Callithrix jacchus: one gene and its partners. The protein of the gene in region 3 purifies or fractionates together with the protein of the main gene of each other region. This does not show direct contact. Links are inferred from orthologs where the notes say so. Each region holds a gene or a part of one and is shown on either strand. Other genes may lie near its edges.

The links.
Region 1: the proteins of GDI1 (region 3) and RAB13 purify together in Homo sapiens (affinity purification with mass spectrometry; 4 studies listed by BioGRID and IntAct, counting the BioPlex papers as one, with this or other methods). This does not show direct contact. The link is inferred for Callithrix jacchus from reciprocal best matches to the Homo sapiens genes GDI1 and RAB13.
Region 2: the proteins of GDI1 (region 3) and RAB5C purify together in Homo sapiens (affinity purification with mass spectrometry; 3 studies listed by BioGRID and IntAct, counting the BioPlex papers as one, with this or other methods). This does not show direct contact. The link is inferred for Callithrix jacchus from reciprocal best matches to the Homo sapiens genes GDI1 and RAB5C.
Region 4: the proteins of GDI1 (region 3) and RAB4A purify together in Homo sapiens (co-immunoprecipitation; 4 studies listed by BioGRID and IntAct, counting the BioPlex papers as one, with this or other methods). This does not show direct contact. The link is inferred for Callithrix jacchus from reciprocal best matches to the Homo sapiens genes GDI1 and RAB4A.
Region 5: the proteins of GDI1 (region 3) and RAB9A purify together in Homo sapiens (affinity purification with mass spectrometry; 3 studies listed by BioGRID and IntAct, counting the BioPlex papers as one, with this or other methods). This does not show direct contact. The link is inferred for Callithrix jacchus from reciprocal best matches to the Homo sapiens genes GDI1 and RAB9A.
Region 6: the proteins of GDI1 (region 3) and RAB8B purify together in Homo sapiens (affinity purification with mass spectrometry; 3 studies listed by BioGRID and IntAct, counting the BioPlex papers as one, with this or other methods). This does not show direct contact. The link is inferred for Callithrix jacchus from reciprocal best matches to the Homo sapiens genes GDI1 and RAB8B.
Region 7: the proteins of GDI1 (region 3) and RAB12 purify together in Homo sapiens (co-immunoprecipitation; 4 studies listed by BioGRID and IntAct, counting the BioPlex papers as one, with this or other methods). This does not show direct contact. The link is inferred for Callithrix jacchus from reciprocal best matches to the Homo sapiens genes GDI1 and RAB12.

What each region holds. Positions count from the first base shown.
Region 1 is NC_133519.1:14,413,135-14,417,694, forward strand, and holds the start of RAB13 (ras-related protein Rab-13), read right to left. Parts: upstream 3,017-4,560; 5' UTR 2,901-3,016; coding exon 2,777-2,900; intron 1,438-2,776; coding exon 1,377-1,437; intron 1-1,376.
Region 2 is NC_133506.1:121,574,158-121,578,718, forward strand, and holds the start of RAB5C (ras-related protein Rab-5C), read right to left. Parts: upstream 3,012-4,561; 5' UTR 2,911-3,011; intron 2,729-2,910; exon of another isoform or gene 2,269-2,728; intron 1-2,268. UniProt on the Homo sapiens protein: The small GTPases Rab are key regulators of intracellular membrane trafficking, from the formation of transport vesicles to their fusion with membranes.
Region 3 is NC_133524.1:150,236,060-150,239,796, reverse strand, and holds the end of GDI1 (rab GDP dissociation inhibitor alpha), read right to left. Parts: coding exon 3,716-3,737; intron 3,153-3,715; coding exon 3,053-3,152; intron 2,632-3,052; coding exon 2,460-2,631; intron 2,143-2,459; coding exon 1,998-2,142; intron 1,878-1,997; coding exon 1,823-1,877; intron 1,733-1,822; coding exon 1,580-1,732; 3' UTR 811-1,579; downstream 1-810. UniProt on the Homo sapiens protein: Regulates the GDP/GTP exchange reaction of most Rab proteins by inhibiting the dissociation of GDP from them, and the subsequent binding of GTP to them. Promotes the dissociation of GDP-bound Rab proteins from the membrane and inhibits their activation.
Region 4 is NC_133520.1:21,248,166-21,252,007, forward strand, and holds part of RAB4A (ras-related protein Rab-4A), read right to left. Parts: intron 2,686-3,842; coding exon 2,605-2,685; intron 521-2,604; coding exon 406-520; intron 1-405. UniProt on the Homo sapiens protein: The small GTPases Rab are key regulators of intracellular membrane trafficking, from the formation of transport vesicles to their fusion with membranes.
Region 5 is NC_133524.1:13,910,052-13,914,525, reverse strand, and holds the start of RAB9A (ras-related protein Rab-9A), read right to left. Parts: upstream 2,847-4,474; 5' UTR 2,683-2,846; intron 1-2,682. UniProt on the Homo sapiens protein: The small GTPases Rab are key regulators of intracellular membrane trafficking, from the formation of transport vesicles to their fusion with membranes.
Region 6 is NC_133509.1:10,006,999-10,011,306, forward strand, and holds the start of RAB8B (ras-related protein Rab-8B), read left to right. Parts: upstream 1-1,448; 5' UTR 1,449-1,467; coding exon 1,468-1,591; intron 1,592-4,308. UniProt on the Homo sapiens protein: The small GTPases Rab are key regulators of intracellular membrane trafficking, from the formation of transport vesicles to their fusion with membranes.
Region 7 is NC_133514.1:54,463,913-54,468,195, forward strand, and holds the start of RAB12 (ras-related protein Rab-12), read right to left. Parts: upstream 2,880-4,283; 5' UTR 2,877-2,879; coding exon 2,363-2,876; intron 1-2,362. UniProt on the Homo sapiens protein: The small GTPases Rab are key regulators of intracellular membrane trafficking, from the formation of transport vesicles to their fusion with membranes.

The DNA of each region.
Region 1 (4,560 bases), on a different chromosome or scaffold from region 3:
AAGCCCGGTGCAGTGGCTCAAGCCTGTAATAATCCAAACACTTTGGGAGGCCAAGGCAGGTAGATAAGAGGTCAGGGCTTCAAGACCAGCCTGGCCAAGATGGTAAAAATACACAAAAATTAGCCGAGGGTGGTAGCGGGTGCCTGTAAACTACTCAGGAGGCTGAAGCAAAGAATTGCTTGAACCTGGGAGGCGGAGGTTGCAGTGAACCGAGATCGTGCCATTATACTCCAGCCTGGGAGACAGAGCGAGACTCTCGTCTCAAGAAAAAAACAAAAGGTCGGGCACAGTGGCTCATGCCTATAATTCCAGCACTTTGGGAGGCCAAGGTGGATGGATCAAGAGGTCAGAAGTTCAAGACCAGCCTGGCCAACATGGTGAAACCCCGTCTCCAATAAAATACAAAAAATTAGCTGGACATAGCTTGTGCCTGTAATCCCAGCTACTCAGGAGGCTGAGGCAGGGGAATCGCTTGAGCCCAGGAGGCAGAGGTTGCAATGAGCCAAGATCACACCACTGCACTCCAACCTGACGCCAAAGACTCCATTTAAAAATAAAAAAAGAGGAAACAGATTTGGATAGGTTGAATAATTAATGAAGGTCAGGCAGCAGATAAGTAAAAGAACTGGATTTGAGCACCAGTCTGTGCAGATATGTCATAGCACAATGCCTCCGCTAAGCTTAGTATCACTTAAACACCTTCAGGGTCTGTACTTGGCTTTCTGGACTCACCATGTTTTGGAGAAAACACTAGACTTCGAGTCAAGTCTTAATTCCGCCAGTGCCATTTAACTGCTCACAGCCTGTTTCCACATTGTAACCCAACAGTTGTTTGTTGTCCAACTAAGAGAATGCTCTGCAGCCAGAGGGGGCAAGAGTTACAAAAAAACTGAAACTAGTTGAGAGGGCAGGAAGAGAGATGGAAGGACAGCTGAGTCCTTTTCCAAGAGAAATAGATTAGAAGTGCTAGAAAGAGCCACGGGGGCCGGGCGTGGTGGCTCACGCCTGTAATCCCAGCACTTTGGGAGACCGAGGCGGGTGGATCACAAGGTCAAGAGATTGAGACCATCCTGGTCAACAAGGTGAAACCCGTCTCTACTAAAAATACAAAACATTAGCTGGGCATGGTGGCGCGTGCCTGTAATCCCAGCTACTCAGGAGGCTGAGGCAGGAGAATTGCCTGAACCCAGGAGGCGGAGGTTGCGGTGAGCCGAGCCTGGGTAACAAGAGCGAAAATCTGTCTCAAAAAAAAAAAAAAAAAAAAAGAAAGAAAGAAAGAGCCATGGGGAAAGGAAGAGAAATGAAACAAAATAGAAGGAAAAGACTGTGGGAGGCAAATGGGGAAGTCCGGCTGGGCTTCCCAGGGATTCACTCACCAGACTTGCAGTTTGATCTTCTTCCCCTCTATATCCACAGTGCGGATCTTGAAGTCGATTCCTAGGGGTAGAGGGTGTGCACTGAAGTTGAGACATGCATGCACACATGTAAAACTGTGTGATGGGAGGGACAGGAACAGCAGTGTCAGCACCAGAAATTCTGCAGGGGAGGCACTTGGGGAGCAATCTTGTTGGAAATGCCAAGCTAAGAGAATTTTCCCAAAGCTGTATTTGTACAGCAAGAATACTATTTTTACTTATATTTTATGGATTTGGGGAGGGAGAAAGTGTGAAAATTCTGCATGGAGGCTTAAGATTCTTAAGCCACCTCTTGGGTCCATTCATATATGCCAGCTGACAACTCTCTGAATTCAGTCTCTCTCTCCCCCCAAAAATTACTTTCACATTCCTCTTTTCTGTTTTCTTAGAGCCTTCTACTATTGGTATGCCACCCGCCTTCCTCCAAAAGAGTAAGGAAACAAAGTAGCTGAAGCCAGTCTATGGCTATGAAGCCACCAGTGAATTAACTAGTGGGCCAAACTTGGCACTAGGAAAGTCTGAGGCTGAACAGGATTACTCTTGAGACAATTAGGAAAGAGGGGCATTTTTCCTTTTCCTTTGTAACCAGAATTGTCATGAGTCTTCCTATTTCCCAAGCCAGAGGAGATGAAGAAAAATGAGATGGGAGGAGGGGAGAGAGTGTTCTTCTTAATAGAAACTTGGGCACCTCCCCCAAGCCCGCTGGGGGCCTCTGGGAGGAGGATGAGTCACCAGGCTGACTCAGAGACCCCAAAAGTCCCCTCATTTCCATGTCCGTCACCAAGCTGGCTAAGCTACATATTCATGATCACAGTCCTTAGGCCACCCTCCAGTACACCCAGCCACCTTGTTCCACTCTTCCCAAACTCCTGTTCAGCTGAGGTGCAGGAAGAGTGGGGTCGGAAAACTGGGAAGTAGATGGAGAGGTGGGGCGCAGTGGGAGAGTTTGAAGTTCAGCAGGACTGAAAGAGGCTGGTGGATCTGGAGAAAAAGATGTGTTCCAGAGGGATAGAGGAAATGCGGAGAGCGGATCGAGAGAGTTCTAGGTGGTGAGGATGGGGAAGAGGGGCTTAGAGGAAAATAGAGAAGAGTTCTTGTGGATTTGGAGAGGCTAAGGAGATGGTACCAAGAAAATGAGGGGCTGGCAGCATTTGAAGTGTTACCTGAAGGCCTCAAAGAGGTGAGAGGTTTGGTTAACTATACAGAGACATGCAGGGGGAGGGGTCAGAGCCAGGGGTTGAGGAACTAGAATTTAGGAGCCTTACTGTAAGGGGACTGATAAGTGGGGTCACTAGTAAACCGGGAGCCTGAGAATGAGGTCACAGGAGAGTCGGGGTCTGGGACATGGCCAGCGGGCTCACCGATGGTGGAGATGTAAGTGTTGTTGAAGTTGTCCTCTGCAAAGCGAATGATCAGACAAGTCTTGCCCACCCCCGAGTCCCCGATCAGCAGCAACTTGAAGAGGTGGTCGTAGGCTTTGGCCATGGCGGACACCGGGGGAGCCGGGGGTGGGGTGGGGAGCTCCTGGCACTGGTAGGCGGGATTGGACGGTTGGCAAACAGCGGCACGGAGCCCTGGCCAGGAAGTTTTCCTCCCTCTCCGCCCAGGCTCCGGGAAAGAGGAGAGGCGGCACTCCTCCGGGCTCCACCCCCTGCCCGCCCACCCTTTCGGGCCGGCCAAGGCGGCCAGTCTGGCCTCTGTTCTCTCAGACGGAGAGAAATTTTAGAGGGATTGGGGAAGGGAAAAGAGTTTTGGAAATATGGGTGAAGATAGGAAGGGCACTAGAAACTGACAAAAATTTGGGGCTGAATTTTGGAGGTGCTATTCAGCGAAGCCAGGAGATTAGTTATGATCGGTTTCCGGGGCCGAGTAAAAGGCAGTCCTAGAATTTTAGTGTTAGTGGTCCAAGCCCTTAGTTCTATGGATCCCAATTCCCTTTGAAAAAAGCGGGATGGGCAGTAGTAGGTTATTTGTTGGGTCAGTCTGCCCCCTGGTGGAAAAGGATGAAAACGTAAATTAGTTATAGAGAATCGGCCCTATCACCCCAACACACACAGCCCCACCTAGACACATCCTGGGGCTTCAGTTGAAACGATCTCCCTAATGGGGCCCCATGTGTGACTTCACTGACCAAATAGCTTAGGAAAACAGAGATTTGAACTAAAAATGTCATTCTCCACATGGATCTTTTAATACGGCCTGTTAAGGTGCAGTATTCCTGAAACCTCACTCAATAGGCTGTGAATGTGTAGCCTTGGTAACCAGAAAGCTGAAAATGGACAGCATGGCTATAAAGAAACAAGTTTATCTCTGCCTTTATTATTAATTTATTTATTTTAAAGATGGGGTTTCACCATGTTGGTCAGGCTGGTCTTGAACTCCCGACCTCAGGTGATCCACCCACCTTGGCCTCCAAAGTGCTTGGATTATAGGTGTGAGCCACTATGCCCAGCCTCTGCCTTTAGAAAAAATTATTCTTGCTATATGTGTGCTGGGGGTGAAAAATTTACGAAAAAGAAAGAAAAAATGATTTAAGACCCAGTGTGGTGGCTCACGCCTATAATCTCAGCACTTTGGGAGGCCTAGCGGGGTGGATTACAAGGTCAGGAGATTGAGACCATTCTGGCTAAAACAGTGAAACCCCACATCTGCTAAAAATACAAAAAATTAGCTGGACATGGTGACAGGTGCCTGTAGTCCCAGCTACTTGGGAGACTGAAACAGGAGAGAATCACTTGAACTTGGGAGGTGGAGGTTACAGTGAGCTGAGATCACTACACTGCACTCCAGCCTGGGTGACACAGTGAGACTCTGTCTCAAAAAAACAAACAAACAAAAAAACGGTGCTCACACTTGTCATCCAAGTACTTTGCCAGGCTAAGGTGAGAGGATCCCTTGAGCCCAGGAGTTTAAGACTAGCCTGAGCAACATAGTGAGACTCTGCCTCTATAAAATAAATAAATAAGCCAGACATGGTGGTGTGCACCTGTTCTAGCCACAGCTACTTGGGGGGCAGAAGTGGGCAGATCCCTGGAGCCCAGGAGTCCAAGGCAGTAGTGAGCCATGATTATGCCACTGCTCTCCAGCCTCGGTGATAGCATGAGAGCCTGTCTAAAAAAGAAAAAAGAACTCAAAAAAAATAATA
Region 2 (4,561 bases), on a different chromosome or scaffold from region 3:
CTCACCCTGCATGTTCATTCATTTAGCAAACAAACCAGGCCAAAGAAGGCCCACTATTAAAAGATAAGGTCACATCTGACCCCAAATCCCAGCCCCAGCTCTACCACTTTCTAAATGTATGACCTTAAGCAAGCTACTTAAGTTCCTTTAGCATGTTCTCTAAAGCAGAAACACATACTTGCCTTATCTTACTCCAAAAAAGAAAAAAGTAACAAAAATTAAAAACAAGTGGGGAAACAAACCCCACTATTCCCAGGGTACCTGTGAGGAATATGTATGAAAATAACTTTGTAACTTTAAAATGATTTTTAAAAATTAGTGTTATTGCCCCTCTACAGTTTAACAGCCCACTAATCATGAGAGGCAAGAGGGCAGGAGAGGAACAGCATCAGAAAGGAGGGGTTTCTGTCACACACAGAGCCATAGCTTTCTGCCAAGCAGTCAGACCTCTGCTTGGACTATAATTTCTGGATGCCAGAAGCAGCTGCATTCTCTCCCAAAGCACTGGGGCCTTCCTCGTCTGTCTAAATGGCCGAGCTTCCCCTTCAAAAGTCATTTCAGGCCGGGTGCAGTGGCTCACACCTGTCATCCCGGGACTTTGGGAGGCTGAGGCGAGTGGATCACCTGAGGTCAGGAATTCGAGACCAGCCTGGCGAATATGGCGAAACCCCATCTCTACTAAAAATACAAAAATTAGCCTGGCGTGGTGGCACGCTCCTGTAGTCCCAGCTACTTGGGAGGCTCAGGCAGGAGAAGCCCTTGAACTCAGGAGGTGGAGGTTGCAGTGAGCAGAGATCATGCCACCACGCTCCAGCCTCGGTGACAGAGCAAGACTCCATCTCAAAAGAAAAACAAACCAAAAAAAATTGTTTCAGAGTCAGAGCTGGAAGAGCATGTCCAGACAAAGGAAAAAAGGTCTCCTCAGAAGGCTGGTCAGTCTCATCCCAGGACTCCTGAAGACTGACAAACCATGGTCCACTCCTGAAGACGTAAGTCTGGTCAGAGACCAATGGCCAGTGAGCAGTCAGGCCTCTCTGACCCTGCCCCTCAGATGCCCAGGCTGCCCAGATCAGAAAAACTAGATTGGCTGAAGAAGTCTCCAATGAGCCCCCAAGGAACCCACACAGATAAAGAGCTTGTGATCCAGCTGTTGACCCTAATAAGGAAGGCTTCTGTTGTCCAATAAAAAGTGAAATAAGTAGGCTGGGTGCGGTGGCTCACACCTGTACTCCCAGCACTTTTGGAGGCCAAGGCAGGCGGATCATGAGGTCAGGAGTTCAAGACCAGTCTGGCCAACATGGTGAAACCCTGTCTCTACTAAAAATACAAAGTTAGCCGGTATGATGGCATGCGCCTGTAATCCCAGCTACTCGGGAGGCTGAGGCAGAGATTTGCTTAAACCTGGGAAGTGGAGGTTGCAGTGAGCTGAGATGGGGCCAATGCACTCCAGCAGGGGGGAAGTGGGGGCGCTGGGGGAAGGTGAAATAAGTCCTAGGTCTACTCACAAGACTGGAGAAATCAGACACTAGTGACTGTCCAGAAGTACTCAAAAACACCTCAATACCAAAAAACAGCACTTTTAAGCAGCACGAGAGGGTGGTAAAGGTAGCTCAGAAAACTGAAGAGCTACAGACATTCCCACTATCTATCCCACTTGCTATCTACATATCCACTGTAGATAGCAAGGGTCAGTCACGGCCTCAGAGACAGGCTACTCCTCATTAAGGTACAGTCTCGGGCCTGTACTTTGGCCACATAACAAAGCTTGGTCAGAGACAGCAGCTATTTCACACACCTAAGCCCCAAGCAACAGTCCATACGGTTGAGGGAACCAGCATTTTCTGGCATGTGTGGGAATTCTTCAGGCTACAATTCAGACCCCAGAACTGCCAGTGGGATCTTGACTTAGTCCTCAGTAATAAGTCCAAGCCCAGAAGGGATTAGATACCAGCGCGGTGTGGACCTGTTGCTCAGGGTGGTTTATGTGTGTGTGTCTGGAAGTGGGAAAGAGATAATTCTTCAACTCCAGACTCCTCATTTTGGGTCTTATTCTCCTGCCTATAGACACACGGACAGCAGTCCCGGGAGAAGCAGTCCCTTTGAGGAGGCTTGAAAACTACTCACGTGCTCTGGGAGGACAGAGCTGAGCCTGGAGCAAGGGGGGAGGGGAGAGAAGATAATGAATGGGCATATCCACCCTGATCTGTGATCTGTAGCTAGGATTGAGCAAACCTCAGCTAAATTCTTCAGGGGCAGAAAGAGAGAGACACTCAGAGAACAACATAACTAGAGAATAGGGCAGGGAGACAGAAGGGGCAAAGCAAGAAAACATCTCATTCCTACTAAATGACCCAGACTTTTAACTGAGGTCCTGGTTGGTTTTCTGGCTTGAGGAAAGAGGGAAGTAAGGAGTTGTGGAAGCGCAAATACACTTCTGTGCGTGTGGAACGGTCTCACCCAGACGACCCCCTCCCCCATAGGAAATCGACATATTCCTCTAGGGCTGGAGGGGACAACTGGTTTCGTGGGACAGGAGGAAGGAAAACGGCGACAGACAGCACTCCCTGTCACTTCTAAAAGACAAGAAGGACAGGTTCCTTCACACCTGGCAAAGATCCTTCGATTCTGGGAGCAAGGCGAGCGGAACTTAGGGTTCCTCTCTCCCACAACTGGAATGGACAGGCCAGAGAACAGTCATAGGAGTTTCCTTAAGGCTCACGAAAGGCAGGTAAGCTAAAGAAAGAAGCTCCCCCGCTCCTTTGGCCCGACGCCTGGGGAACCCCTTAGGAGGAGGCTACGGGTCGGGGGAGGGGTCATTATCCCCCTAAACGGGCTGGGTGGTGAGTAAGGGCTGCCCTGGAGATGCTTCAACGCAGGCGAGACACCAGGTTCGGGGACAGGCATACTCACGGCGGCTCCGGGACGGCAGCGTTACTTGGGGCCGGGACTCGGACAGGCTTCGCTTCTCTCCCCCCCCCCCGGCGGTGTCCCAGGCTCCGGCCTCCACTTCCGCCTTTCAGCCGCTCCGGATCCGGATCTCCACCTCCGTCCCGCCCCTCAATACTACCCAGGTGATTGACAGGGTAGAGGGACTAATGGAAGGCACTCTTGGCCGACCTATCCAGCGGCTCCGGTAGAAACGCGGGAGTGGTTGGAGGGCGCGCGCGAAGGATGGCGGGACTTGTAGTTCGCAGCGCTGGGAGGAGTTGGCGGCTGCCTGGGATTTGGGCTTAGGGTGGAGCCGGCTGACTGCGAGGCGGAGCCCGGCCGGGAATTATTATTTTTTTGTGAGGAGTCTCAGTCTGTCTCCCAGGCTGGAATGCAGTGGCGCGATCTCGGCTCACTGCAACCTCCGCCTCCCGGGTTCAAGCGATTCTCCTGCCTCAGCCTCCCGAGTAGCTGGGATTAAAGTCATGCACCACCACGCTCGGCTAATTTTGTATGTTTTGTAGAGACGGGGTTTCACCATCTTGGCCAGACTGGTCTTGAACTCCCAACCTCGGGTGATCCGCCTTCTTCGGCCTCCCAAAGTGCTGAGATTACAGGCCAGAGCCACCGTGCCCGGCCTACGGCCGGGAACTTTTTAAGGCCAAGCCTGCCACCCGCGTCACCGCCGGTTCCGGACGCCCGAGGGAAGGCGAGTGGCGGAGAGTTGGAAGAAGGCAGAGGACTGTGTGTGCAGAATTGGAAAAGGAAAAACATGGTGCGAATGAATATGCACGCGAGGCTGCGTGGACCAGTCCTGTGAACTCGCTGATCTGGAGCAGCCCCTGTCTGCGCTTTCCGGCCAAGTCAGCTTGGGAAGCCCGATTGCTGGGGGCCTCTGTGATGGGGAAGGCGATGAAAGCGATGAAAGGCTGTAGGAAAGGTTCTCTGCAGGATGCTGAGTGAGATCAAAGGGAGAGCTTCTGCCACCACCCCCTACTTGGTGTGTCGGGGGGGGGGCCGGCGCAAAGACCATCTCCGCCTCTGCCTTCCCCTGCTCCCAGCCAGGGTCAGCTCTTCTCTCTGACGCGGAATGTAGAGCTGGATAACCTCTGGCTCGGACCTCTCCATCTGAAAATAAAGACTAGAACCACCCCCACTCTGCCCCTCCCCATATGGATCAGGACTATTTGTTTCTTCTGCTCCTCTGAATATGGATCCGGCCAGCTCCTGATTCCGCCCACCCTTACCTCTCAACACAGACTAGTACCTCCTCTTCCTTTGCATGTTACCCTCCAGGGACACTACTGAAAACCTGTGTAGAATCAAAGCTCACTGGAGACAGCTGTGACCATTGTGCCTCTAGTACTGGCCAACACCGGGCATATCCTGGAGCCTCAGCTGGAGAATCGACCTCTCTGGGACAACCTGCCACAAAACTGTGCCCACATCTAGTTCCATCTGGTCAGCAGGGTGTCTCTTTCTTACATCCATAACACACAATCCCCACTCCAGTGCAGGTGATCATGAGAGAAGTGAAAGGGAAGAGGGAAGAGGGCTTGTTGGCTTGTTGGAAGGACAGAGTGGATGGGGCGGAGTGGGATTCCTAGCAGGCTTTGGCTGCTGACAGGCTAGC
Region 3 (3,737 bases):
GGCGGCGGCAGCCCGACCCGGTCTCGGCAGCAGCTGCGGTGGCGACGGAACAGTCAGCTGACGCCCGCGCCGTGACGTCAGCCCCCCAGAGTCGCGCGGACGCCCCGCCCCACCGCGCACCAACTGGCCCGAAGTGTGAGCGCCGCCCGCCCGCCTCGTCGGAGACCGCCCCTGACCCCGCCTGGACTCCCGCTCCAGCCCCCACCGCTTGCTACTGTGGACCCCGGAGGCTTAATCCTCCAGTCCCCCGCGCTGCCTCGACGTTAACCCGACCGGAGGCTGGGCCCCCGGTCCCTCTAATTCCTCCGGTTGACCCCAAGGCTGGGCTCCGCCCCCTCACGTCTTTGATGCTGATCCCTGCCCAATGCCGGATCCCCTGGTCCTGTTGCTGCCTTCCTGCCTGAGGCCAGGCCCTGCTCCCCGTGCATTAACCCGAAAACTGGCACCCGTCCCCCTGTTTCACTTCGAATTCCATCCAAGGCTGGCCCCTGGTCCCCTCTGCCCTCTCCCTTCAAGCCAGAGGCCAGGACCCCAGCTCTCTCTGCTTCCTCCACGTTGACACCCACCCCTGCCGCACTCCCCCCGCTTGGAGCACCGAGGGCTTGCAGTCCTTGTGCCAGCATTCACTCATTCGGTGAATTTGATCTTACGCAGGTCAATTTGGCCCCAGGGTGCTCTGGGTGAGGAATTCCTTGGTGAGTAATGCCACCTTTTACAGTCCAGAGTGAAGCTAAGCCAGAGCCCCAACCCAGGCAGCCAAAGCCCTGCTAGGTACCCAGCTTTTGGGAAGTAACTGTAAAGATCCAGAGGTTCAGGTTTCAACCGTTTTATTGGGAGGTTCTGTTTTCTGTGAAATACACTAGAGAGGGGGAAGGGGACACATTCACTTTGCAAGGTAAGGGTTTCCCACCACTAAAGGAAAGGCATGGGGCAGGGCACACGGGGGTTTGGATCCATTTTCCCACCTCCTCCTGCTTTGCTCACATTTCTTTTCTCTCAGCCAATACCAGAGAACAAAACACAAAGACAAGAAACAAAACAGCAAATCAACCTCCAACGGGCCACGCCCAAGCCTTCCCCACTCCCCAGGCTGGGCAAGGGCTGGGGCATCTCACTCTACAGCCCCCAGGCAGCACAGGAAGGCTGCAGGCTCAGAAGGGGTGGGTTGAAGTTAATAAATTAGAATAAATTAGGGGGGAGGAATGCAACTTTGTGCTGGGAGGGCCCCTTCTCTCCAACACGCAAGAGTTGGTAGGGGGAGGTGGGGCATCTCCAAAGGCCACTACAGTGGGGGTAAGAGCGGTGGGGGCAGAAGTCACCCTTTCCTCCATGTTCTTCCCAGAGCAGAAGGGGTGGGGGGAAGAGACACACACAAGGAGAGGAACCCTCTTTTCCTAGGATAAGGAAGGGCCAAGAAAGAGGATGCTAACCAACCCCCCATCTTCCAAACCATCGCTAGAGTTAAGGATTTGGTCAGTGGATCAATGAGGCGGGTGATGGGAAGGTGGTGGGGGAAGCAGAGGATGCTAGAGCCCTCGAGAACAGACAGGCAGGGGCAGCAGGGGCGGGGCAGCCGCAATCACTGCTCAGCTTCTCCAAAGACATCGTTCTGCTTGCGCTTCATGTTCTCGAAGTCAAAGGCCGTGCCAGCCATGCGTTTGTAGATGTCTTTGATGTCGTTGCAGGTTGTCTCAAAGTGTGTGGTGGCATCATAGGAGCAGGAACAGAACACCTGGAAATAGCCAGAGCCCAGGGCCCAGGGTGAATCGGGCAGGTGCCCTGGGCGGGCAGCCAGGAGCCAGGGCTGGGATAGGCTGCTTACCTGGCTCTCAGAACCGTCATCAATGGGCTCATACAAGTCACTGATAGCCACAAACCTGAGGGGCAGATGGAGGGGAGGGGACAGGCCTCACAATGGGCCATGCCCATTGTGGGTCCTTAAGCCCAGCTCCTGGGCTCCCTCCCTCTCCACCCCCAGGCTCAGCCAAGTCCCTTACTTCTGGTCAATGGGCTCCAACAGCTCCAGAGCTGGCTCCACCTCCTTTTCGGGATCCATGGTCTCCACGGTAGTGCTGGCAATGGCAATGTACTTGCCCTGGGCCGCCACGTTGTGTGCGTAGGAGATCATGCACACATAGATGTCTGGCCACAGGAAGAGCTCTGTCAACTCAGGCTGGAGGCACCAGCCGTGTGCAGAGAGGGGTTCCAGCAGCTGGACGCAAGTCTGGCCCGCCTGCCCCTCCCCAGCCCCACAGAGCAGGTAGCATCCAAGCTGTCACCTTCCCAAACGGGAAGACTCCAGTCCACCCAAACCCTAGGGATCCAACTTGTGGTGACTGCAATGTGGGTCAAATTTTTTCTTCGGAGAGATAAGGCAAGGAGCTCCGACGCTGATGGGGAGATAAAGAGCAACCTCAAAGAGAACACCCTGGAGGAAGCTGGACCGGCGCCTGGCCTACCTGACTTCCTGTTGACCTGGTTCTGGGGGATGATGATTTGGCAGGAGTTGGCGTCATTGGTGTTCTTGATGGGGTGGCTAAGAATACAGATGATGCGGATGACCTGGCCCGCCTTCCGCACACGGTCTGGGATGTAGCTGGGGTCACAGATCAGCTGCTTGCAGCGGGCCACCTGAAAAGGCACCAGAGGTCCTCACCCCTGTCATATCACTCCCCTAGGTAGTCCTGGGGCTGTACTCACAGCAAGGGCAAGCAGCTCTGGCAGACAAGGCGCTCCTCAGAGCCATCACTACTGCCCCTCCTGAATGCATGGCCCTGCCCTGCAGCTCTGAGGTGGGCCCTGACACACAGGCCGGGTGCCCGGCCCCGCCCCCCATGGGCACTGTGATCAAGAACACTTTTGCACCACAGACGTGGCATGTGGACTCTCAGACCCCTCACCAACAGACATGGCTCTGACGACTTCTGGACCCCTAGTTCCCAGCTGCAAGGCCCTTGAGGCTGCGTAGCAGCAGACCCAACAGCACAGTCAAGAAGAAGGTGGCCACACCCCACCTCAACCATGGTGACAGCAGTGCATGGGGAAGGCTCACCTCTCCCTCAGACTTCACGCCCACCACCTTGCCGTTCTCCATGATGATGTCATCCACAGGTTTGTTCAGCATATATGTCCCCCCATAGATGGCACTCAATCTGTGGTGAGAATAGCCACGGTGAGGGCCCCTCCCAGGAGAAACTGGGACCAATTCCACTGCACCCTTCCCTCCACCAAGGTGCAAAGAAGGCTGCCCCAGGCAGGCAGCAGGCAAGAGACCCCGGGATTCATCCCAGCTCTGTCACTGCTGTGAACTCTGGCCCCATCTCGACAGGCTTCTTCGTCTCTGGAGCTTCTCCCCAGAATACACTGTCAAGGGTCAGCAGCAGGTGGCATGAAGGAGGAGTGCTCCACACCCACCAAGACAGCCTGGGGGACCAGAATGAAGGTCCTCTCTGGAGGTCAGCTCCCAGCTAAGCCCTGACTCAAGGTTCCATTGCCCTGGGCCCAGTCCTGGTGCTTCCAGGAACTGAGCAAGTTGTTTGTGGAGACTTGGTTCTTCGACTCTGACTTCGATACACTGGGGTTGTGCCCCCATCAGCCAAGGATGGAGCGAAGTCAATGAAGACCAATGCTAGCAGGGAAATGCTCAAGGGGCCAGCTCCACTCCTGGCCCTAGTCCTACTCAGCCAATGCCAACTGAAAAAACCCACGTCCTCACCTTGCAAAACCCTGAGGCAGCT
Region 4 (3,842 bases), on a different chromosome or scaffold from region 3:
CAAACATCAGAACATGCTCTAGTTAATGTAAAACAAAATACAACCTCACAAGAGGTTTTAAACAATTCTTCTTTAAAAAAGAAACAGAAAAACAAGCTCTTGCTCTGATTTTAATCTAGAAACATACTGTACAATACACAGTGCCACATCCTCCTGAGAAGGGGTCAGCCTCCAAATTATGATGCAGTTGCTCTGAGATCCTACTGTATTCTTTAGTAAATCCAGGCTGTAGAGAGCTAACCTGAATTTGAGCTGTCTTGTCAATCAAAGTTTCCAAAAATGAAGTTTCTGAGATTAGGACAAGGAAGGGTGTGTTGGGGAGGGGGTGAGACATAATATATTGAGATAATATCATCAATTATTTTAAATCCAACTTTCAAATATTTTTTAAGTTAGAAAAGCTACCTGAATCGTTCTTGTCCTGCTGTATCCCATATTTGTAACTTTACATATTTACCACCAACATTTATTATCTTTGAACCAAATTCCACTCCTATTGTATGATTTGAGTCATCTTTGACTAAAAAAGAAAAACAAGAACAGCACATTTAATTTTAGAACATTAACAGGCTTATAGATTTAAATAAGTGACACTAAAACCAAGAGTCACATCAATGGAGAACAGACATTACTCCAGCTATTCATTTCTCCAGCATTCCACTGAGAAGATGCATTTAGTTTTAAAGACAATACACACAGCCCCTACTCTCAAAGAGACATAAAGATGTTTTCCCAAAACCCCTAAACAAATCATACATTTAAAAGCCTATGCCTGAAGGTACCCCTGCCATATCTGAACTGCATCCAACTGTGCGCTGTTAAGACCTCACAGACGGGACTATTGACATACCAGGGTACCATTCAGGGCATAATGTTCAGTGGTGACAGGTCTGGAACTCAGTAAGTAGTGAGGTGGAGGCAGTTCCAAGTACTGTATTTGAATAGTTAAATATTCTAAAGAAATAACAGTGAAAGGAAGGAAAAACAGGGAAAAAGGGAAAAGGCGGAAAAAAAACTGAACCAAAGAAAAAACACCCTCAAACAACCAACCCCAAAACAAAACACTCTCAAACACACCCCCCAAACCCTATGCAATCTACAAGTGTCTGAGTTTTCATTCATTGTATGTTCTATGGGAATGATTTGGGATGAATTCGTTTAAGAAATTAGAACTGTTTGAACAGGCAGGAAACAGGTAAAATAAGTATTTTGCTAAACCTAGCGGGAATACATGGCCTGTGAAAGAACATTTCTGTGATGATGAACAGAGAAGCTAAAATCAAATACACAGCTATTCAGTCCACTGACTAGTTTACATTTTGTAACTGCAAAACAAAATTTAACTGTTCCAGAAATCAGGGATGCTACTTGGCAACTGGCTTTATTATTTACAGGGCAGAGGGTAAATGGTTACAGTGACTATGCCAGTCTGTTTCATGCCCAGACAGTATAGAACTAGTATGGAAATTCCATTAGGAGTAAAATAACAGGCAAAATGCAGAGTAAAATCCTTCAAAAGACAGTAACTAAAGGCCAGGGGCATCCTGGTTACAATGAGAGAACTTCCCTTCATCACTGTTTTGAGGAGTTGCGGGGAGGACCCTGAAGGAGAGTTCTCTGAGGAGAGAATGATTATATAAGCTGGGTACTTGGACTGGTACCCTGTGGGTATTCTTTTCTAAGTCTTGGCAACTTGTAAATAAACTATCCAGTGAATGAACATTTGTTAATTTCAGTAAGGACTGGTTCTGTGACTAAGCCACACTGGGTCTATGTCACTAAACACAGGCTCCAACAAGCTCTTGGTTGATTAAAATGGAAGTAGCAGAGTAAATTCCTATAATTTTATGCTTCTTCAAAGCTTTCTGCCAAGACACCCTATACTGGCTCTTTCTCCTTTTTACCCACCTATGGTGTCTGACATTTACTTCCTTAACATGCACTTAACTAAATAAAACATTCTGTTTTTGAGCCTTTGCCCACCTGCCACTAACTAGACAGGTCTTTCTCCACAATTCTTTCCATTATTATAAAAGCATTTTTTTTATTTTAAGGGCCTTTCAAACCTACAGTCTTCTACAGTTTTCCAAGGCCTCACATAGTTTGAAATAAAAAAATTCAACCTCCCTTACCAAAACAGTGAGGGTCGATGGTAAAAGATGGGATGTGTGGTCAAGAGCTCTGTTCCTGGTCTATAAAACAGAACTGATGACAGCAACTGCCTTAACTACAACAGAAGGCCACTGTAAGGATCCAACGTTGTTATTTTATCCAAAATCTATGCCTAGAGCTTCTCTGGCTGCTGTCAGGAAATGGGATTCCTGCCAGAGAATGCCTTTGCGTTCTTCAACATCACTATATGATCTCTTAGCTTCTGGAAAATGTACAGTATAAGTAACCATGTATTGAACCATTGTTAAATTGAAATGCTAACTTAATAAAAAAATGACAATACCAAAGTTTAATAACAAAACCCTTTAAAATACTTTTAAACTATTACTTTTTACCATGGAAAAACGTTGTAAGTTTTACTGTAAACAAAACTGAGCAAGAGAAGACTCTAAGGAGACATGCACAGAAGAATGACCATTTTATGTCACTTACATTTTTTTTCAATAAACTGATGGAGTAAGCAAGATTTGCCAGTTCCTGCATTCCCAATAACCAAGAACTTAAACAAAAAATCTGAAAGATAAAAAGAGACTGTGAAAATAACCTCAAAATGGTGCTATGAATTTCTTCTTAGATCATAAACATAAAAGTTAGTATCTTAGTTGTTAATGTAACAGGAAAAAGAGGTAACTGAGTATCTTGTAAAATGACAATACACATGTTGACTTACCTTTTCACATTTAAGGATTTTAGGTATTTGGGTGACATGTTAATTCAGTGGTTTTCCAAACTGTGCTCTTTGAATAATTACTTTTCAAGCTCGAATTTGAAAACTACTCTTGGAATGAATAAAATTTATCCTTTATCTAGCCACTATCCAAAGAAATATGCGTATTCAGTTGCAAGCAAACTTAGTTTAGAAATTTCAAGTGTTTTCTGTACAAAAGGATAAGCCTAACTCTGAAGAGTCTGCTTCTTTCTTCTGTTTGAACACAGGTAAGTTTTGTCTGCACTTGCAGATTTATGTGGTCTTTCTTCTATTCCCTCATCTGTAATCTGTAACTGCTCAAGCCAAGTTTGGGTCAGCACTTCAAGTGTGAAATTTGCCTGATTCAATGACAAACTGAATAATTTCTTCTTTACATAGTAATATATTTAATTTGGGATATTGTTTTTTATGAAGTGGAAATAAAGGATTTCCAAATCCTGGAAAGTGTTAATTAGCATGATGTAGTATCAGTAACTTCGTATTACCCATAGGAATTCACTCTGTTTTTTCTGTTAGCAAAGAACTGTAGTTCTGCATAGCTTGGGAGCCCAGGAGTACCGGAACACTAACTTTCTCCCTTTTTCACTCAGCTGCTGAGTCCACTCCTCACCCTTGCTCCTGACCCACAGCTGTTAATCCCCACTGCTGCCTGACTCTTTCTGTGGCCTCAAAGGCTCTGCTCTGTATTCCTGGCTCCCCTGTTTACACCTTTGAAAATGTCACCTCCACACTCTTTTCCAGATCAGACCAAGCACTCCCTAATCATAGCTACTTTCCCTCCTCAAATTAAGCTCCAATAGTGTGTTCCTTTACTGACACTTGCCCTAGCTCTGTCACCTGTTTCTTAAAAACTATGTTAATCACCACTGAGAGATGGAGCCTATTCAACTTCTCATAATATTTGCATGGTTATAGGCAATCAAACTAAAAATAATGCTATTAGAATTTTGTTAGCATTAAA
Region 5 (4,474 bases), about 140 Mb from region 3:
ATATATTTTTTTTTAGCGACAAGGTCTTATTATTGACCAGGCTGGAATGCAGTGGTGCAATCATGACTCACTGCAGCCTTGAACTCCAGAGCTCAAGTCGTCCTCTTGCCAGCCTCCAGAGTATCTGAGACATGCACCACCACACTCATCTAGACTAATTTTTAAAAATTATTTTTAGTAGAGATGGGGTTCTCACTATATTGCCCAGGCTGTTCTCAAACTTCTGGGCTCAAGTGATCCTCCTGTGTGGGTCTCCCAAAGTGCTGAGATTACAGACATGAGATACCACACTCAGCCTGTTTTGCTTTTTTAATGAACACCTGGCCCCTGTCCTTGAGTAGGCCAGGCAATAAATTCCATTCTGGGATGCTGTCAGAACCTAAGCTTAGGACTGTGATTGGATTGTAAGCTTCAGGAAGGTTGGGACTCCCTACCGCCCTTCTCATCAGCACCTCTTTGTATGAGTGCCCCACAGGCTGCTGAGACCACTGAAATAATGCAGAATCTAAACTTTCTAAGTCCACTTTAATGGCTCTGAATAGCTCTTAAGTTCTTTTTGTCATTTTTGCCTTAAAGCAAAAAAACAAATTCTGCTACCAGAAATTATTTGCTCACTCTTTAATCTTTCAAATGAATATGCTTCTCAGTATAGAGAATTTTCCCCTGCTCACTTAAAATGATGAGGTATCCCAAATAGGAAAATGACATTGCATTTGAAAAACTACAAACACAGCTGAAATGTAAGCTCTGGGGTTACTGGGACAGCTGTAAAGCAGGGTTTCTCGACCCTCGCACTAGTGACATTTTGGGCTAGACAACTGTGGGGGGCTGTCCTGCAGGTTATAAAATGTTTAGCAGCAAAAATTAAAAATTAAATAACAAAAATAAAAATAAAAAAGAATGTTTAGCAGCATATCTGGCCTCTACCCACAAGAGGTCAGCAGCACCTTCCCTGCCCCCAGGTGTGAACCAAAAATGCCTCCAGGTGTTGCCAAATGCGTCCCAGGAGGACAAAATTGTCCTCTCTTCCAGTTGAGAACTCCGACTCTAAAATTACCCAGACCTGCTTTGAATTCCAGCTCCACCCCATCACAACCTGGGTCAGCTTGGAAAACAGACTGAATCTGCCTATGCCCCCCCACATTCCTCAACTGTAACATGGAGCTCTTACTGAAGAAATGCTACGAAAATTAAATGAAATGATGTATGTACAGGATTTACACGCACAGAATAGTCACCACCAGAGTGAGTGTCCAATAAATGGTCAGAAATGAGGGGAGGTTAAAAGAAATAATTTCTAGAATTCAAGGATCTTATCTTTAGGCCTCCAGAGTACTGCAGTCTAGTCAGAAGAAATGGTTGATAGAGACAAAAAGAGATGAGAGAGGTTGGGAAAGCGGTGATAGCACTCAGGTATTTCCCTTATCTCTAAGAATGTGGCTTGGAGTCAAAGCCAATTATGTTCTACTTAGACTCGAACATTCCAAATAATAAACAAAAAATATGCCCAGATCCTAAAAGTCTCCAAAAGACAAACTTTTGAGTATAAACGAGGAATTTACTCCAGCAGACACAAAAATACTAAAAGTACCAGACTACATGGTCTTAGATTTAAGAATCCAAACAACATACTACAGTTCTAGAGAAGCAATCATGACAACGTCATAATCTTCTAAAGGAAAAACTAAAGGCTGGCTTCTTAAAAGTTCCTAACTGAATCGCTCTGGGTTCCTTAATCTCTGGTTGTACTCCACCGGACAGCTTCTGAGAGCACAGGCAATGCAGGGATTTTCCATTACAACGGTGTCAGAGACCGAAGGACAAACACATTTTTTTTTAAAAAAGCAATCAAATTCTGCCCATTGATTTTTAGCAGGATGCTAAAATCCTATGAAAAGATTGTGGTCACATGGCGATTTGGAAACTAGCAGAAAAGTTATTCCTCAAAAGAACTGTAGTCACGAGATGTGTCATCCCTAACCAAAAAAAAAAAAAAGGCAATACGTCCACCAACTATTTGTTCAGCACTTAAAATTTTCATCTTGCCTTTTGACTAAGTTGGAAGAAAAAAGGGAACGCAATTGTGAAACATTAGCCAGCGTCTGAATCAGATAATGCCCCCAAACCGCCTGCAGCCTCTAAGATTGGCTTTACTTTCCGAATTCCTCACCCGAGTGGTCCTAAGACATCGAACAGTCACTTTCTGCTAGGCTGAACTTCAGAGATCGCCAAAATCAAGTCGTGGGAGCGCCTTTGTTTTCCCTACATTAATTATTCGGATGTAGCGTTTGGTTTGGAGTGTGTGGATGTGTGTCCCGGAGTGGCCAGGGAAAGGCTGGTGTGTACGTGTGTTCCCAGGTGACTGGGTGCATTTCTCCGTGTGTATGTGCGCGGGTGTCCGGGCTTTTGTACCTCCCTCTCCAGTGTTTGTGTGCGTCCCCGTGCGTGTTGTGTTTCCATGTGTGTTCCTCTCCCCAGGGATGTTGGGACCCGTCTTTCCTCCTATGTCAGACAGCAGGCAGGGAGACAACCAGCCGTCCTCTCTCCCACGGCGGCCTTGTGACCCGCGCTAGCCCCGCGCGCACCGCACCCTGCCCCAGCTGACCGAGGCCCGAGCCGCCCCCTCAGACCCCGACACCCGTGCGCCCGCCGGGCCCCGAAGGAGTCCCGAGTCCCGCTCACCTCGCGGACACACGAAAGACTGCCCGAGAGCTCTGGGCCGGCCCGTCTGGGTGCTATGAAGACAGAGAGAGGGTCGGGGACCCGCAGAGCAGGAGGCGGCGGCGGTAGCGCAGCCAGGTTCCAGCTCCAGCTGCCTCCGTCCGGCGCGGAGGGAACAACATGGCGACGGGCCGGGGCGGGGCCAGGGGTAAAGTGGGGCGGGGCCCTGAGAGGCGGGGCCTAGAAGGCGGGGTCCGGCGGCCAAGACCTTGGGAGAGGGGCCCGGGGGAGGTGGAGCCGAGGCAGGCCGGGCCTGAATCGTACTTTTCCTTCGGGTCGATTGCTCTTCGTGGGTCCTCCAGTCTGCGTTCGGGCGAGAGCGAGTACGAAATAACCGTCATTTTGAAAAGTTTATGTAAAGTGGAAACAAACAGACCTCATGAGACAGGATGTCGTGATTACAACGATAAAAACGACTAGGCAAACGGACAAACAACGAACAGGTAGATGAAAAATGAAAACAGTTGTGATATTGTGGAAAAACAAGAACTTTTAAAATAAAGCTATTAAAACTTTAATCTTGTTAAAATACTGCCTCTGTCATCTCTAAATAGAAAGCGATGGTGCAAAAGGTGGTATTGGAGAAGCTCTCCTTAAGTCCTTGCTTTATGTATGAAGTTGAGTGCAGAATCCTATGATACCGAACCCTGCAGGGGAGAGGGACTCTTAGGGACATCTCAATACATTTTGTAAGATATATTTAGTTTATCAGAGAACCAAATACCGCCTGTTCTCACTTACAAGTAGAAGCTAAATGATGAGAACACATGGTCACATAGAGAGAAACAACAAACACCCGGGCCCACTTGAGGGTGGAAGGTGTGAGGAGGGAAAGGAGCAGAAAAAAACTAGGTATCAGGTACTATGCTTATTACCCGGGTAACTAAATAATCTGTACACCAAGCCCTGGCGACAGGCAGTTTACCTACATGACGAACCTGCACATGTATCCCTAAACCTAAAAGAAAAGGTTTCTTAAAAAAAGGTTTAGTCTGTTTAGTTTCCAAGACAAGGATCTCACTTTTATGATGTTGGGGGCCACAACAATTTAATCTCCAGCTCTTTGGGGAGTCATTTTCAGGAAATGACTTTTCATTCAGCACTAGAAAGGTCATATTTGAGAAAGTTCCTCACAAATTAAAAAGGCAATTTTAGAGTACTTCTGAAAATGACATATAAGCTTAAATAATTTTTTTCTCACAAACAGATCTATATTTCTGATATACAGGTCATTTCCCCAAGGAAATATGTATAAATGTTTATAAAATGCAAATCTGTTAAATTGGTAGAAAGAACAGATGTACGTTATCTTGTTTTAAAATACATATTAAAAGTACATAGTAAAGCATTATATATAAACATTAGAATTAATTTTCTAATAGAAAAAAAGACATGTAGTTGGGTCAAATTGCAACAAGCAATCCACAGGGTAATTAAAGAAATGCCACCTGAAAATCATACATCCCAACCATAGTCAAGAAGTGATGGAATAGGAGTTTATCTGTGCAACTGCTAATACCAACCAGCTAGTAACAAGTGATCTCATGAAATTATTGAATTTTGAGTTAAAGCGAACCTTGAGAAACCCAACAGCTTTCATAAAAATGACCTAAGAAGGTTCCATGAGTGACTCTTAGGCTGTTCCAAAATGCAAGAAGGCATTCAAACATATTTGAGTGTAGCTTATAGTACCTGAAGAAAGAATAAGGAAAGTTACTTTTTCTAAAATAACTATCAGTTGGAGTCTAGCCAA
Region 6 (4,308 bases), on a different chromosome or scaffold from region 3:
GTGGTTCTCAAATATTTTGGTCTCAAGACCCCTTTATCCTCTTAAAAATTATTGAAGACTCCAAATAACTTTTGTTCATGTGGGTTTTATGTGTCGCTATTTGACACATTAGAAATTAAAACTTGGAAGGGAGAACAACAGATGAGAGACAGAGAGGCCTGGCAGGATGGACTCCTGGTCCCACACCTTCTTAGCCTTTTGCTTCTACACTACCTGAACCACTGGACTCCCCTTTCACAACAGCTAATCTGGTTGGGTTTCTACCACTAGCTAATGAAAGAGGACTGAACAATAAATCCACAAAACAAAGAATTAGCCGAAGACAATAAATAATAAAGGATTAACCTGAGTGTAACAGAATGCTGTTTCCCCCCTATATTTGTCATCAGTTAATTGAGAGCCTACTGAAGAGTGATGAATATTACCATCACCGCCAACAGTTCTACGGTGCCTTATGGGTTTCGAAGAGCCTTCACGTTTAGCATTTCATTTAATTTTTCACTAGAATCCTATGAAGCATCTTGTTTCATATCCATTTTACAGTTAAGAAAACTGAGATGTACAGTGCCTGCGTGACTTGTCACAGCGGTTAAGGCGCAGAGCCAAGACTAAATTCAAATCTTATTCTGTAAGTTCCCGTGGCCCGGTTCCTGCCTCACAGGATGCTTGCAGTTTTATGGGGCACAGACCTGTAGCACAAGGCTTCCCAGATTTAAAAATCCATCCTCCTCCGGCATAGGGGAGCGATCAGCGTAGCAGATCCTCTAAATACCCACCGTGTTTGGCTCTGGTCTGTGTGGTTTGAAGAAAGAGGCACGAGTGAGGTTCGAGTTAGCACGGTAACCATTCTTTCCCAGCTCTGTGACTGAGGAGCTGCGGGTGGGGGATTACAGTGGTGCTGGGCATGGCCTGGGAGAGAAGCTGGATGATGCACTCTGCAGATAACCCGTAGGCTGCGCCACAGCAGCGCCAAGAAAAGAAAGCATCTCTGCTCCGGGTCTCCGCGGAAGAGATGCGGGGACTACGGGTTTCTGATTCTGAGGTCCTGGATTTACAAGGCGCCCGCACACAAAGAAATAACAAAGTTCAGTTCCGGCGGCTTGACCAGCAGAGTTCGAAACGAGGTCTCCCTTCCCTGCTCCGGTGGAAACGCCCCCACGCTCTCACCCCGCCCACAGCAGGTCTTTTATCCACTGGAGCCGCCAGGACAGACCGCGCGGGGCACGCCCGAAGCTCCCCGGAGGAACTACAAGTCCCATGAAGCCTCGGAGAGCGGGCAGTGATGACGAAGCCCTCGCAGATTGGCAGTGCAGGGCGGGGCGCGCAGGCTTTCTCCGAGTGGAGGGGCGGGGAGCGGGGCGGGGCGAGCAGCGGCCGATTGACGGGCACGCCCCCTCGCCCGCGGCCCCCTCCCGCCTCTCTCCGCCGCCTCCTCAGGCTCCCCGGTCAGAGGGCCGGAGCGAGAAGATGGCGAAGACGTACGATTATCTGTTCAAGCTGCTGCTGATCGGCGATTCGGGGGTGGGCAAGACCTGCCTTCTGTTCCGCTTCTCAGAGGACGCCTTTAACACCACCTTCATCTCCACCATCGGTGAGGGAGGGGCTGCGGCCCGGGACCGGAGAGAGAATTGGGGGGCGGGTACGAGGGGATGGGAAGCGGGCGGGGGGCGCTTGGGAGCCCGGGAGAGGAGACCCCGGGGACTGCAGGGTGGCTGGGGTACTGAGAGGGGCGAGGGCGTGAGGGAGAGGGGCGAGCGGAGACCTGAGGCAGGGGCGAAGGGGGAACTTGGGGGCAAAGGAAGGGGAAGGGGAACAGAGGAACAAGGAATTGGGGGTTTGGGGGAACGGGAGGGTTCGGAGACAGGGAGGGGTCCTAGAGGGACAAAATGTGTTGGGGGGAAGATGCAGGAAATCTCATGTAGGGAGAGAAGGGGATCGTGGACGCGAAAATGGATTAAAAGACAAGAGAGGAAGGAAATGTGAAAGGGGGAATGAGAGGGACGTGAAGTAAAGGGATAGACGACACCAGGGACAGAGAGGTGAGAGCCAGGCAACTGGAAGGGAATTCAGGGGAATGAGCGGTCGGGAGGCGAGGAAGAAGGGGGACGCTGGTCACAGGAGGTCTGGACAGAGATGTCGTAGGAGGGGCCAGAGGAAAATTGCAGGTGGAAGAAGAGTTCAAGGGACCTTCGGGCGGAATGAGGATACTTGGTGGAGAACGTAAAGGAGAGATGGGTGTGAGACGGAAAGGAAAAGCAGAAGCAACATCGTAGTAAAGGGAGGTTGAGCAGCGAAGACGGAAGATGGAAAAGGGAGGAAATGGAAAGTAGTAGTGTGCAGGACGAGTTCCAGCAACTGATTACCATTTTCTCTTTACTTCCTTTGGGTCAAGTGCAGGAGAAAGCAAAACGTGACTAATGATGGAATTATGTCTATAGAGCGTTAATTTGTTCTGTGATTGTTAACGGATGTTAAGGGAATTGGTGACTTTTGGAAATGGTGTGGTCAGGAAAATATGGTCCACCTTACTACCATCTCCTGAGAAGCAAGTCTTCTCGGTATCTTAAGTCCTTGGGTTTGAATGTTTAACAACTTCTCAGCCAAGGAATTGATCTTACATTCTGCCCACCTCCCGCCTCCCTGTATATTTTGCTTTGATTCTAATTATTGTTAAATGAATCACAACATGTGATATACCTCCCAGTTACTTCCAATTGATTCAAGAGTTTTTCTGATCTTGGCTGGAGCTCTCCTTCCTACTTTTGTACTGAGAGACACTGTGTTCAGGTAAGAAGATCTCTTAACTTACTATAAACTGAAGGGTTTTAAGCTCTTAGAAATGAACACCTTAGCATCATTTTCTCCTGTTAAATAGCTGCGGATTAATTAAGTACCTTAAGAATCTCAGCTTTTGGTTGTCTTGGTGATATTTCTGGCCTCTAATAATAGCTTATTTAGGCGTCTTTCATATGGTTCTTACAGCATATTTCACCATGAATTTCTGGGTTGGGAAATAATAGGGAGCTAGGGCTTTGGTAATACATGTGTTTACATATTTGTGTATTTTAAAGGGTAATTTATCTTTTTGTAAAACAGAGTATTCGATATAGAGCACTCTTTAAGTATTAGAAAAGACTGGGGTTTGTTTGTTCATTCTGGTGTCTTTCATATAGATTGAATGGTCTAAAACCTCCTATGATATCTGGGCTTAGGGAAGTTTGAATTGCAAGTTCTTGGCAGTCAGTCTTGAGTGGGACTTTTTCTTTTCTGAGAAAGCACATTTTAAATGTCATCTCTCAAGTAGATGCCTAAGATTTGGTGGTAGCTGTTGGTACCGCAACTGAAGGGCGTTAAGTTTTAACACATATTAATTACAAAGCCTCAAATCACTGTTTTTCATTGTTGAATGCATACTGCAATACAGATGATAAAGGATAATTTCTAACAAGTTGAGTGGGCGTCCTTTTGTCCATTCTGTGTTTGATCCTCCGAGGAGCATCTCCTGCCTTGAAAGTAAGTGAATCTCACTGATGCTGTTTCTCATAAGTTTCTTGGATGACTTGCTTGTTTGTAATATTTTTATTCATTTTCTCTATTTTTCCTTATTTTTTTGTCCTGTGTTTCCTGTAAGGATGTCTGCTTCCTTTTAAAATAGTAGCTTTTAAAAATTACTTTCATTTTGAAGGATTCAAGTCTGTGAGTCAATTAAAAAAAAATGATGGAAACGAGGCTCTTTGGAGGCTTAATCGCTATGAAGGTGTGAAAAGCAGCGTCCTGAAACAGGTTGGAATAGGAAGTGCTCATTAAAAGGAGGTGAATCGCATGGGAGATCTGGGTCTTTATATTTTCTCTGAGGTGGATGTGGTAAAAAGGCTGTGAGCTGTGTCTTCAGTTGATGTGGAGGAGGGGAAATCCCATAACTCTTATTTAGCCCTGGGGCTCCAACAGGAAGTGGTAGCACACTGTCTTCAGACCGCAGAATTTATATACCTGAAACCTAATGCTCTGCAGTCAAAATTAAGCTGGGAAAATAAGGTGAATGTTAGCACCATTCTGGTTCCTCAGAGTCTTCACTGCTTACAAGTATAGATTTTGGGTGTTCAAATCTCCGGCAGCCACTTCCCCAGGCCTCTCACCTCATTCCCAGGTGATCTGAAGTTGTTGAGGTGACAGTTGGTGGACCAGCTCCTCCCTAGTCATGAAGTACCTAGGTCTGTAAGTTCCTGGGCTCTTCTGACTGGGTTTTGATGAGGTCTGCCACAGCGTTGCTGACAACACTTGATAAGCTCTGTGTCACATGGAAAAGAT
Region 7 (4,283 bases), on a different chromosome or scaffold from region 3:
TTCAGGTGGGGCAACCACAGTTCTACACCACACCCAGTACCATATTTAATTAGCATTTTTCTAAAGGAACTAGAGTAAGGAACTTATCTTCAAACATTCCAGTGACGAGGAAGCCTTCTCCAACCAGGTCTCATCCCTAGTGCTGACGGGAGGTGCTTTCGCTGTGCTCCCAAATACCCATACACATTTGTCACTGCCTTAAAAAGCGGTCATGTAGCTCCCAGGAGCTCTGATCCACTTCTGGACAGCATAATACCCAACACACAGTAGGTGCTCGATGAATTATCTGATGAGTAGAAGGTTTTGAAAAGCAACTCTGAAGCAGAAACTGAAGCAGGGCTGGTTAGCTTTCTCAGAGTCTTCATGCTTTTAGCAAGCCAGAGGCCATGATCATTCTCTGAACATCCCACAGTTAGAAGGACGCACGGAGTACTGGAGTACTAGCACTTCAGTACTGTAAGTATTACAGGCTACATGTGAAGCAAACAAAAATGAGGATGAGAGAAATTCATCCACACTCAGAGTAGAAAGTGTATACTAAGGGACACAGAAACAACTGCCTGGTCTCCTTGCCTCCTGGTTTTGTCCTCATTCCCAAACATCCTATGCAACTCTGCCAAATGAGTTTCATTGTCTTCATGCCAATGTCTTATTAAGATGCCTTCTGGTTCCAGGTGCCCATAGGATAGGGTCCACCCTCCTTAGCAGGGCAGTCAAGGTCTCGCAGTATTCATTCCCAAGTCCCCTAAAGAAACCTTCCCCAGAGGTGAGGGGAAGGGGCTGCTCCACTGCTGCCAGGCTTGGAAAACACTTCTTCCCCTCTCCTCTGCATTCTAAGGCACACCTTTGCTCATCCATCTCACCCTCCATGCACCCAAGCATTCAGTTACCCACCTATAGGTACCTGATTTCTCTTCATCACACAGTGCAACTCTATTATCCCTCATTTTCATATACTTAAGTGCAGAGCCATAACAGATTGACAATTCTGAACTGAATTTAACCCTACTTTATTTGTATCAGGTACTAAAATAACAGCATAACCCTCATTTGATGGCTTAACAACTCCCTGTACTCTGTATAATGCAAGATTGGATTTTGAAACAGGCAAAGTTACGCTGCTAATTTTAATATCATGTCCCCAACGCCAACATTTTAAAAACAAATGGTACAGACAGCACAAAACAGTTCCAAAATGATCTATTCCAATAAAGCATTAAGGGAAGTAAGCTCTGAAAAAACAAAAAGACAATACAAAAATTGGTGGTTTAATTTTCCAGTAAGACACTTTAAATGTAGTACTGTTTGGTTACATGACAATTTCAAACCAATTCATCTCAAAGTCGTACCAACAGCCTTGGAACTACCACTGGTTATAACACTATTAATAAACAGAATTACATGAAATGATACTTTTAATTCTATCAATTCTCCTGACGACTCAGTTTTTTGGACCGCCCAATCTCTCACTTCCTATAACGGAAGGTAACTGCCTTATTTTAAAGAATGGGTTTCTCCTAGTTTGGAATCTTTTAAGGGGTTTTCCATGGAAGCAACTGCTACCCACACCCACCTGACAAATCTCAAAGTCAAATCCTTTAAGCGTGACTTCATTAAAAAAATTTTCCCCTGCAGTTTTTATTTCAGATCCGCGGCTATTCTCCTCTTTGACCGTGGAGCGTTCCTGTAGTTACTTCACTCCTGTCCTTCACCGAAAAGAATGGTACTGGAGGAATCAGCCCCACGCCCGCCAAGTCACCGGGTTGTTTGAGGTCACGGATAAAAACAGCTGAAGTTCCTCTGACCGGTACTTACGGTTAACACGAGAAACTTAGTGTAGTTTTAGTCTTAACATTCTCCGTAAGTGCCTTTAAACTTCATCATTTCATGAAAATGGGTTCAACATAAGAAAACTGCCCTGGTTGCGAAGGGATCACATCCGCGGCAGACAGCGCGCGCTGGCCTTGGCCTGCAGGGGCGGCCCGGGCGACAGCGGCCTTCGGCGTTCACTCCCCTGCCTGCCTGAGCCCCCACTGCACCCAGCTTTTTCTTGGGCGAGCATGCTAAGAGTCGAAGTTTCCGTGGAGAGCCGCTCCCCCAGTCCCCCCGGGTCGCCAGAACCTCAGAGACAGCGCCGGGGGCCAAGGGCAGGTCTGCGCAGAGGCGGCCCGAAAACCTCCGCCAGGCTTTGGGCTTGGGGTGGAAGGCGCTCCACGAAAACCTCTGCCCCTAGTTTCACCGAGAGCCCTATCCCCGAAAGGCTCCCAGGCTCGATGAGACTCGAGGCCCACGGGGAAGGGCACCGGCCCGGGCGCCAGGAGGCCCAGCCCTGCCCGGACCGAGGTCGCCGCGGCGCCCTTACCCACGGTGGACTTGCAGGCCTCGCAGAAGGTGTCGTCGGTGAAGCGCTCCATCAGGCTAGTCTTGCCCACGCCGCGGGAGCCGATGATGATGACCTGCAGCTTGAAGTCGGCCGGCCTAGGGGGCTGCTTTCTCCGGCGGCCTTGGCCGCCCGACAGCGCCGGGGAGCCCGCGCCCAGGCCGCCTCCGCCGCCCCCAGCCCGCCTCTGCAGCGCGGCGCCCGGATCCATACACGCATGCGGCTCCCGCTCGGCCCGCCGCCCGCCGTCGCCGCCCGCCCCCCGGCCGCGCGCCCCGGGCCCCGGCGCCCCCTCAGCCTCCGCCGCGCGCGGGGGGTCGGCCCCGGGCTCGGCGTCCGCCCGCTCTTGCGGCCCCAGCAACCCGTGGGCTCCGCGCTGCAACTGCGCTGCCGGTCGGTTCTCAGAACCTGGATCCCCTCCTCCGCCGCCGCCGCCGCCGCCACCGCCGGGAGAGGAGGAAGGGAAGCAGCTACTCCGCAGTAGCGGCAGCAGCATCCCGGACGAGGAGGGGCAGGAAGCGCAGGAGCGGGCGGGGCGGCGGGTCGCGCGGGGCAGGAGGCTGGCGGACGAGCGGGAGCCCCCTGCCGGCGGGAGGACCGCGTACTGGGGCCTCGCGGGGGCTGCAGCGTGCGGGGCTTTCCCGCACACCGCCCGGCTTTTTTCCTACCTCCGTTCCCCACCCCCGCTTTCCTCCCTGTTCTGCCGGCTCTTTGATCTTATCTTCCTCTTACCACTTCCCTTTTCCCCCTTTTCACTCTTCCCTACTCTGCTTTCACTCTGCCCTGCATTTATAGTTAACAGAAGAAACTTAGTGTCGTTTTAGTCTTAACATTCTCCGTAGGCAGTTTTAAACTTCAACATTTCAGCGCATCATGAAAATGGATTCAAAATAAGAAAAAGAACACCGTACACGGGTATTCACCACTGCGCGTGCGCGGTGTGGCTGGACCACTGGAAAGGCCCCCACCCCAGGCCCGCGCCGCGTTCGCGTCTACACCGGCGCTCTCCCACAAACACCAGCAGGTGCAGGTCCCTGTACCGCCAACCGGGCCGTGGCACTGCTTGGTCTCTCGCCATCACGTCTGTCTTCCATTTTCCACGGAAACGCACGAAATCAGTTTTTAACCCTGATTGCGGTCTCACTCAGAGTTCAGAAGTTTGTATGCTGTTTCATTTTTAACGTAAGTAAATGACATACTCCTTTGGGGGAATAAGCAAGTTAAAACTCAAGCAGTGCGAAGAGATTGAAACTTTAGGAATTATGGACTCGAGTCGTATGTTTTGCCATTTCTATTTGGAAGGATTTAAGGATATAGAAAATCCCTGCTGATTCCTTGCCAGAGATTTGTTTAGCAAATTCCTCAGCTTGAACTTGAGCACCTCAGAACACAGGGTTCTGAATATGATAGGGGCTGGCGACATTTGCCGAATGATGACGTTACCCACCAGATTTCAGCTGTACTGTATTTAGAACTCGGTTTAGTAATGCACAGTACGTGCGTATGTTACACAGCAACCCTGATTTGTAAAAACCTAGCGTTGCCCACAGAGTAGATTGGAAGTTTACATCTTTGAGAGCATTCTTAACTGTGCAATCACTGTAGGGATCTTTTTAATACGAATTCTGAGAATACGTAAAATATGATCCATCTGTATTATTTGGAACACAGATCTATCACTCACCATCACGGAATTTACCTTCTTTCTTTCTTTTCTTTCATTTTGTTTTGTTTTGCTTTTGAGACAGTCTTGCTCTGTTACCCAGACTGGACTGCAGTGGTGCGATCAGGAGTTGCAGTAGTTGCAGGCTGGAACTCCTGGGCCCAAGTGATTCTCCCTTCTCAGCTTCCTGTGCAGCTGAGACCACAGGCATGTGCCACCATGCCTAGTTAATTTTTTAAT